Linked DNA regions of Callithrix jacchus. The protein of the gene in region 1 binds, or shares a complex with, the protein of each later gene. Links are inferred from orthologs where the notes say so. Each region holds a gene or a part of one and is shown in the gene's direction. Other genes may lie near its edges.

Region 1 (4,396 bases):
ATGATACTCTACTAGTATTTGTTTATGCTTTTTATTACAATGAGAGCTCCATGATGAAGGAATCATCTAGGACTTAACTTCTGTGATCATGAAATAAAAAAGAAAAGAAAAAGGCCCCTGTAATACAGCATTCAGGGAGGTGTTCAAACAGAAATTGATTGAATGACTATTGGAGATGCCGTGTAGGAAATTCAAAGGAATTACATGACCTTTTAGGATGAGAACTTAGAATCTGTGGAATCATCTTCTCTGTAGGTCACAAAATTACCTTAAGGAAAATTGGGCTTCAGAATTGGAGAGTTGCTAACACTGATATGGTTTCTTTTGGTTTGTAAACATGTTCATTTAAGACTTTTTTTCTCAGTAAGCCATGAACACCTCAAAAAGTAGAGGATATCCATATGTGTTTATTTCTAGTGCTTAACATAGTTCTTGGCACCTGCAGAGGTGGGTAAATATCAGAGGGCAGTAAATATTGAATGAATGAATAGATTGATAAATTCAATCTTCATAGCATTTCTTTCTAAAAAGGTATTGTTAATTCCTAATTTATATAAGAAGCAGCTGAGATTTGGAGAGGTGAATTGATCTGCCCAGTCTCTTAGTAAACTAAAGAGCCAGGATTTGAAAGCAGGTAATTACCCCCAACTCCAGGTTGTTTTGCATCATAGCACAGTGGTATTTTTGTATGTGTAAACCTGTGCTAGAAGCCAGAGAAGGAGACTATTAGAGAAGGAAAAGGCAAGCTGTCTTCAAAGAGACATATCAGGACAGGCAAAAGAGGTCAAGGCATGAAAGTATAGGTTTAGGTGCCTGGGATATAGTTTGTCTACAGGTACAAGAATAGAAAATTGAGCAATCATTATACTAGAGTAGTAATCAGGAAAGAAGCCATTGCCTCTGATCTTAGTGTCTTGGCTTATTGCTGTTCCCACTACATGGAAAGTTCTCTCCCATTTCCACCTATTAAAAGCCCATCCAGTCAAAAGGTAGCGTGGTCAAGCAGTCCAAGGTGCAGGATTTAGTAGGTTTTAGTGTCTGTGGAGCCGTGGGTTTGAGTCCTGCTGCTGCCAATGGCTTTGCATCTTTGCAGATAAATGATCATCATAGATAAATCATCCTCTGTTCTTTGTAGAAGCCTATCCATCTTTCAGGATCCTGCTGAAGGATCCTGTTTATTCATTTATTCCACCAAATATTTACCTGAATCCTTGCTTTTTTGTTAAGTGGTTAGGTGGAGGAACTCAGGGATGAATGACCCACATTCCCTGTCCTTATACAGCTTATAGACTATGCAAACAATAATTGTGATATTTTTATGATAAAATCTGATAAATACCTTGAAGCATCCCCTAGAGAAAGGAAGCATAACTTAACAATCATTTCTGAACCTCAGTAGTATATAGCTTGCTCATTTCTTTATGACATTTATCCCTTTCTTGTACTTATGATTTTCTCACCTCCTTTATAAGAATGAGAGGATGGAGTAGCATTTTATACAAGGTGAGACAAGTAGATTCCCAGTAAATGTTTGTTATGTAAATGATGAATAGAACATTTAATATTTTTGAAAGATAAAATTTGAGTGCTTAATGTCTGCTAGGGATGATTCTGATTACCTCACATATTAATCAGTTTACTCCTATAGCAACCCCATAAAATAGGTGTCATTATTATCACCACTTTATAGATGAGGATAGTGAAGCACAGTGAAGTTAAGTAATCTGCCCAAAGTCATGTAGAAGGTAAAAATAAAGAGTTGGGGTTTAAGTTCAGGCAGTCAGGTTCCAGAGTCTGTGTTCTAAATTACCACACTGTACTGCCTCTTGATGAAGAACAAAAGTAGTTCCTTCCCTGCAAGGGTTCAGGATGTAAGGAGGGAGTAACTCAATAGAAGTTGGTGTTGTGCTACTAATGCAAAGTGCTCTGGGAATACAGGGTATTTCTTTTAGCTTGGGGATGCATAAAATGTTACAGATGAAGGGGATACTTATCTAATAAAATTGTCTTTAACTAATTTCTTTTGATAGTTGTCTAGCCTCTATTGAATATCTTTAGTGCTGAGATTCTCACTTCTATTGTGTACAGGGAGAGCAAGGAAGGCCGTTTTACCCAGAATGGATGGGCCTGGGCACAGAGGAGGCGTAATATAAATTTGGACATAGGAGAAAGGATGAGTTTATTGGGATTTGTTCTGTGGATGTTCTAACCTCACATCTAGGAGAGGTTCCCCTATGCTAACAAAGGCTGGCCTTGCCAAAATTTTGCACTAATAATGCAGGTATACACACGCTCTGTGATTGAACCACTTCCTGTCACTCCAACTCGGGACGTGGCTACATCTCCCATTTCACCTACTGAAAATAACACCACTCCACCAGATGCTTTGACCCGGAATACTGAGAAGCAGAAGAAGAAGCCTAAAATGTCTGATGAGGAGATCTTGGAGAAATTACGTAAGGAATTTGTAGCTTTCTGAACCTTTCTTTGCTCCATGACTGGTCAAGCACAGAGATGAGATTCTTGGTTTTAGGCTTTGTCCATGTGGCTGTCTGGCCATGCTTGGTACCTTAGCCACAGACTGCTTCTTACCCTGCCCCTGCACCTTCCTTCCATGTCTTACAGCCCTGGTTGGATACTATGTTAGAATGAAGATGTGGTGGGAGAGAGTGTGAATAGCTCACTTCGAGGGTAGGGCACCCTTTGCCCCTAGGCATGGATTATAGAGATAACAAATAGTTTTTCTCTAATGAATAGTCTAGAATGCCATGTTGAGAAAGACTGAGGACCTAGTGGAAAAGGGCACTCTGATTGATTATTGATGTTTTGCCATTGACCTAGGAGAAGACAGATCTGCCATCTTGGTTGTAGGAAAAGAGGGAAGGGAAGTTAACATTTTATGAACCTGTAGTATGTATCAAATGACGAGCAAAATATTTTCTTGACTTTTAAAAATTTAATTCTCTTGTTAACCCTGTGAAGAAAAGCATTATGGTCCTAATTTTTGTAATTAAGATACTTGAGGCTCAGGGAGGCTAAACATCCTGGCCAAAATCACACAGCTAAAAAGTGACAGGGCTAAGGTTAGAACATAAGTTTTTGTTCCTGTAAGTAGAGCATGTACTTGCTGTCAAGTGGAAACTTCCATTTTACTTTCTTTAGCTGCCAGAAATGGGGGTATGTTAGGGTAGCTTACTTCTGTATAAACTGCAAAAGAATTCATATTAGAAGGAAGAACTAGGTTGATCTGTGGGCTTGGAAGAATCATTTGACAAGGGCTTTAATTTATTCACTGTATCTACTTACTTCCAAAGAGGATTTGATGTGACTGATTTGGTGACATTTGCAAACTGGCATTGCTTTCCAAAGCCAAGGTTTCTGGTTCTCTAGTTCTTCCTGATTAATTCCCGTGTGACTTTAAAAAAAATTTTCACTATTTTAAAAATTGCCCTTTTCTGGATCCCTCATAAAATGACAAAGTAAGAAAAGCCACTTGTCTAGTTATCTAGTTACTCCTGTATATAGTCTTGTTCTCTAAACTAGAATTTTTTTTTTTTAACAATAATACCTAGAATTATGGAAAACAGACTTGGTCTGGGAGGTAGGACACTTGAGTTGAAGCTTCTGCCCAGCCACTGACTTGTGTCTTGGGCAATTTTCTACTGTCCTCTAAACTTTATTTTTCTCATTTTTAAAATAGGGATGTTAATACTTGTCTCATTTGTAAATCAAATGAGGTAATTTATATGAAAAGTACCAATTTTTAGTACTTGGGTATTAATGGAGAGCACATTGGACTGGGAGACTAAAAACGAAACTCCTAATCTTAGCTCTGACACCAATTTACTGTGTGACCTTGGGGAAGTATCTTCTTCCCTTCTGTGGGCCTCAATTTCCCCATCCCTAAAATACACGTTGTAATACCCAATGAAAAACCTCTATGTCTTTGCACTTGAAGTATTCTTTGTTGTAAACCTCTTCTCTACTTATCTCTCTGGCTAACTCCTACTTAGTTAAAGTAGAAATCAGTCTATATATCACCTTTCTGAAGCTTTTCCAGTCTCTCTCTCTCTCTCTCTCTTTTTTTTTTGGTGCCTCTTTCTGTACCCTTTTGTCATTTATCACAGCAATTATATTTTCATGGAACTTCATGCTTATCTGTCTTCTCCCATGAAATTGACCTTCTTGAGAGCAGGGACTGCCTTGACTGTGTCACATCTGTTCATTCCTACCTCAGCATATGGCTTGGTGCATATTAAATGAGTAAATATTTATTGAATGGATTAATTAAAAAATGAATGCATAGATTTTTAGGAGTTTAGAAATGGGATAGCTTACTATGAATCAAAGCAGTTAAAGAGATGAAACTTTTGGTTGGGACTTACGGGGGAAAAGC
Region 2 (4,396 bases), on another chromosome or scaffold:
CATTTTGGCTGACTGCAACCTCCAGCTCCCTGATTCAAGCTCCTGCCCCAGCCTGCCGAGTAGCTGGGATTACAGGCATGCGCCACCACGCCCAGCCAATTTTTGTGTTTTTAGTATTGACGGGGTTTCACCATGTTGACCAGGATGGTTTCAATCTCCTGACCACATGATCTGCCTGCCTCTGCCTCCCAAAGTGGTGGGATTACAGGTGTGAGCCACTGCACCTGGCCCCTTTCTTTCTTTTTTTAAAATTAACTTGTATAAACTTTAAAGGAGAAGATATTGCAGTATACAGGAACTTAGCTTTAAAGAAATCTGACTAAAACATTTTAGCTTTAAAAAGTGAAGGTTTATTCTATGATTTTTCTCCTTTACTAATTAAAAAAAAAATGCTGCAGATACAGACATGTTGCTGGATTAAAAACAATCCATATGCTTATGTATGTATCAGTAGCACTGAAAGGATACATTAGACATAGTAACCACAATTTATGGAATGAGAGGGAGACTTTACCTCAAAAGTGGTTAATTTTATAATAAATGAAATGAAACAAGTAGATCTTAAACATGACGCATTACTTCTCCATTGGGACTATTTGGGGTTGGATTATGGGGAAAAAAAACTAATTGACTCATTGTCTATCATAGGAGAAGACTGATATAGAAGGGACCTTATTTGTATATCGAAGGTAAGTTTTTAAAATATGTATATTTGTTTTTAACAGTCTAATGGTGAACAGTGTCAAACAGTTCAATTCTGTTGTACATTTGTCTTTGGAACCTTCCTGCTACTCCCCTTCAAGTTTTTATTCTTCTCTAGCTGTGAAATCTTAACCAAGTTCTTTTCTCTGAGCCTTTCTGTGATTCAGAAAAAACGGAACTAGAATTTATATTAGCAGCCTAGCAAAGCAATTTCAAATGATTGAGTCTAAAACAGATGCCTGCCTCTCTCCCCTTGCCCCCATATTAGAAAGAAAAAAAAAAGGCATATATTTGGGGAAAAGGCAATACATAGACTAGCTCTATAAAATAATGTAATTGAGAGGTCGATCCCTCTGTTCTTTTCTTCTGTGCCTGGTTCTGTCCTCTTTCCCAACCCCCAGAAGTTCTAGATTATGTGTAGTATCTTGTTTGAGAGTTCTTTAGAAAGCTTGGATTATTCACGATAGCATGAATTTTTTATTTTCAACTTCTTCGAAAACTGATTAACTTTAAGATTGTCTTTAAGATAATCACATCTTAAATGTGATTGGTTTGCACATTGCAACTTTTTTGTTATGTAGCTTTTGGGGCCTAAAGACAACTGACACTATATTATAGTCACAGGGTCCTTGGCTTTCCTGGATATTCCTCTAAGGTCTTACTGTGACAGGAACAGGTTCCTTCCCTTGTTTTCTAAAGCTTAGTGAGTCAGTAGGAGTTACTACTGACATCTGGTCTTTTCCTTTTCTTTCTTTCTTTTTTTTTTTGTATGGAGTTACCTTTTAAGGATTGCCTTTCTTCATTGATGCTAATTTAAAAGAATTTGTCAAATAGTCTTCTAAATTTTGATACAAAGCTTTGAGATCTTGTCTAAACGCACTCATTTTTTCCTTCTTTTAAGTGTAATTCTTTGATATTTGTACACCAAGCTCTTCTTTCTTAGACGCTTTGTTCCCTGCTATTCATCTTTCTCCTTTTAAATAGGCAGGGATCTTTACCCTCACTCTCTTCATTCGTAATATAAATCTCTAGAAACTCTGTTATTAGAATCTTGGTTTCTATGACATTTGGAAAAATAACTTTACTGGCTTTATTGTTATAGTACAGAAGCACTGATTGTAGAAAGTGGGAGATTTAGTGTAGTGAGTGTATGGATTTAATACAATTCGCGGAGGCTTACTGGTACTGATTCTAATTAAAGGAAACCGAAGAAACTTTGTTTGGAAAATGTGAGACTATTTTGCGTACCTTGGATAAAGGTATACCTGGATGTCAGAATATCACTTTGCAGAGATTACTTCGTATAGAAGAAGCCTGGATTTGGAGTCAAAAACCTGAAACTGAATCCTAGTTACATTATTTGTATGACCTCAGGCACAGGCCTTAATCATTCAAAACTTGTCTCCTAATCTCTCTATGTGTATCCTAGATAAACAAATAAAAATCTATGAAGTGTTAGGTACAAGTGAAGAGTATCTAAGGGGTCATGTACTGAATCCCTCTAATATGGGAACCGAGGATGCTTCCTATTGTAGATTCAAGGCATTTTTCATCTAACTCAGGAGCGCTATGTAAAGATCAATTTGGTGCAAGAAAAGCCATTATTATAATGATGGGCAGTCATTATAGCCAATCCAATTGAATTGATATTTCATTCAGCAGTGGTGTGTCTATCTTAGGAAATATGTGTGAAAAACTTAAGACAAAAGCTTCATTTGCATGGGGCTTACATCCTAGTGGGGGGAGGACAATAAATATTAAAAATAAGTGGTATGGATAAAAGAGGAAGATTAGAGACATTGAGCTTGGGAACATTAAAAAGGGTAGTTATTAAGAAGTGACATCTGAACAAAAGCTTGCAGATGAGATACCTATTGCAGATTCTGGGGCAGTGATCCAGGCAGAGGTCTTTAGGTAGAAGCACACATGTAGAGAGAGTGGCAAGGAGCCCAGTGTGGCTGGAGAAGAGTTGCTGGGGAAGAGCAATAGGAAACCAAGTCGAAGGGGGAGTACCTCAAGTAAAGCCTTGGTGGCCTCAATAAAGACTTTGGCCTTTACTCTAAGGAACTGTCTTTAGAGACTTCTCATCAGAAGAGGAGTATGATCTGACTTAATTGTTTTGTTTCCAGGTTTAAGTGCGGATAATATTGTATAGTGTTCTAACTTATTTATTCTTTTTTGAAATGAAAATAAAGTACATAGTAGATAACATTTCTACAGATTAAATGGTAACTAAGTATTTTTTTTTCTTCTGTTAAATCTAAGGTCAGCTTCCCCTTATCATGGTTTTACCATTGTGAATCGACTAAATATGCACAATCTAGTTGAACCAGTGAATAAAGATTTGGAATTTCAGCTCCATGAACCATTTCTTCTGTATAGAAATGCAAGCTGTAAGTATATCTGTTTCAATATGATTATTACATTTAAAATTGAGTGACCTTAGTTTCTATCAATCCATTATTTAGGAAGTTTCAAATTACAAAACAAAATATGGTCTGTACTTTATAAATGAGTCTGTTAGGAAGATCAAATCTTTTAAACTGGGCTCTGAGGCCAGGTGTAGTGGCTCACACCTGTAATCCTAGCACTTTGGGAGGCTGAGGAGGGCAGATCACCTGAGGTCAGAAGTTCAAGACCAGCCTGGTCAATGTAGTAAAACCCCATCTTTACTAAAAAATACAAAAATTAGCTGGGTCTGGTGGTGCACGCCTGTAGTCCTAGCTACTTGGGAGGCTGAGGCAAGACAATGGCTTGAACCCTCGAGGCAGAGGTTGCAGTGAGCTGAGATCTTGCCTTTACACTCCAGCCTAGGTGACGGAGCAAGACTCCGTCTCAAAAAAAAAAATTAAAAAATAAAGAGATTCAGAGATGCATAACAGATATTCTGTTGAAGAGTTAGGATTACAACTCTTCTGCTTTCTAGTCCAGGGTTCTTTCAGGCATTTTTACAGTCTCTAGTAATGATTGGATGCATTCAGCAAAGCTAGACTGGCCTTCCCAAGAAAGTACAGTACTAAAAAATATATTTGTTTCCAGTATTTTAGTATGGATATTGAAAGTATGGGTGTTTGAGGACAAATTGTTTGTCATTGACTATAGAGATCAAAATTAGTTGTGGTAACAATGATTGTGCTCTAATTATCATCTTAAGGATATTGTTGGAGAAATGTTGCTTCTAACTTAAAAAGTAAAAGTTAATGTGTTTGAATTTCACTCAGCCAGGAGGTAATTGGTCTTGGTGGGGGATGTCTTCAGTATAAAATAGAAAACTTTACTAGAAATTGTACACCTCTTAATTCCCTGAATGAGAAGTAACAAGGTCTATTTTAAAGCTAGAAATCCCCAAGTTCTTTTCCATAGCTCATTTTTAAGTATAAGTGAAACAGGATCTATCTTTAGACTTTTCAGTAAACTATTTTTCCAGGTAATTACCTCTCAGATTTTAAATTCTGTGGACGTAGACATGCTTTGTAATAGCTGTAAGTTCAGATGGATTTATTTAAACTAATATTAATAATGTAATTATTTCGGATTGCTCTTTTCTTTGTACTGAATATTCCATTAAAGGGAAAACTCGGCTGGGCATGGTGGCTCACCCCTGTAATCCCAGCACTTTGGGAGGCCAAGGCAAGTGGATTGCTTGAGCCCAGGAGTTCAAGACCAGCCTGGGCAACATGTGGAAACCCCGTCT

The links. The genes of interacting proteins can lie anywhere in the genome.
Region 2: PAK1 (region 1) and DCP1A share a complex: the UniProt entries of both Homo sapiens proteins name them as parts of the cytoplasmic complex. The link is inferred for Callithrix jacchus from reciprocal best matches to the Homo sapiens genes PAK1 and DCP1A.

Annotation. Positions count from the first base shown.
Region 1 is NC_133511.1:63,591,948-63,596,343, forward strand, and holds part of PAK1 (serine/threonine-protein kinase PAK 1), read left to right. Parts: intron 1-2,281; coding exon 2,282-2,456; intron 2,457-4,396. UniProt on the Homo sapiens protein: Protein kinase involved in intracellular signaling pathways downstream of integrins and receptor-type kinases that plays an important role in cytoskeleton dynamics, in cell adhesion, migration, proliferation, apoptosis, mitosis, and in vesicle-mediated transport processes.
Region 2 is NC_133516.1:35,874,400-35,878,795, reverse strand, and holds part of DCP1A (mRNA-decapping enzyme 1A), read left to right. Parts: intron 1-648; coding exon 649-689; intron 690-2,967; coding exon 2,968-3,095; intron 3,096-4,396. UniProt on the Homo sapiens protein: Necessary for the degradation of mRNAs, both in normal mRNA turnover and in nonsense-mediated mRNA decay. Removes the 7-methyl guanine cap structure from mRNA molecules, yielding a 5'-phosphorylated mRNA fragment and 7m-GDP.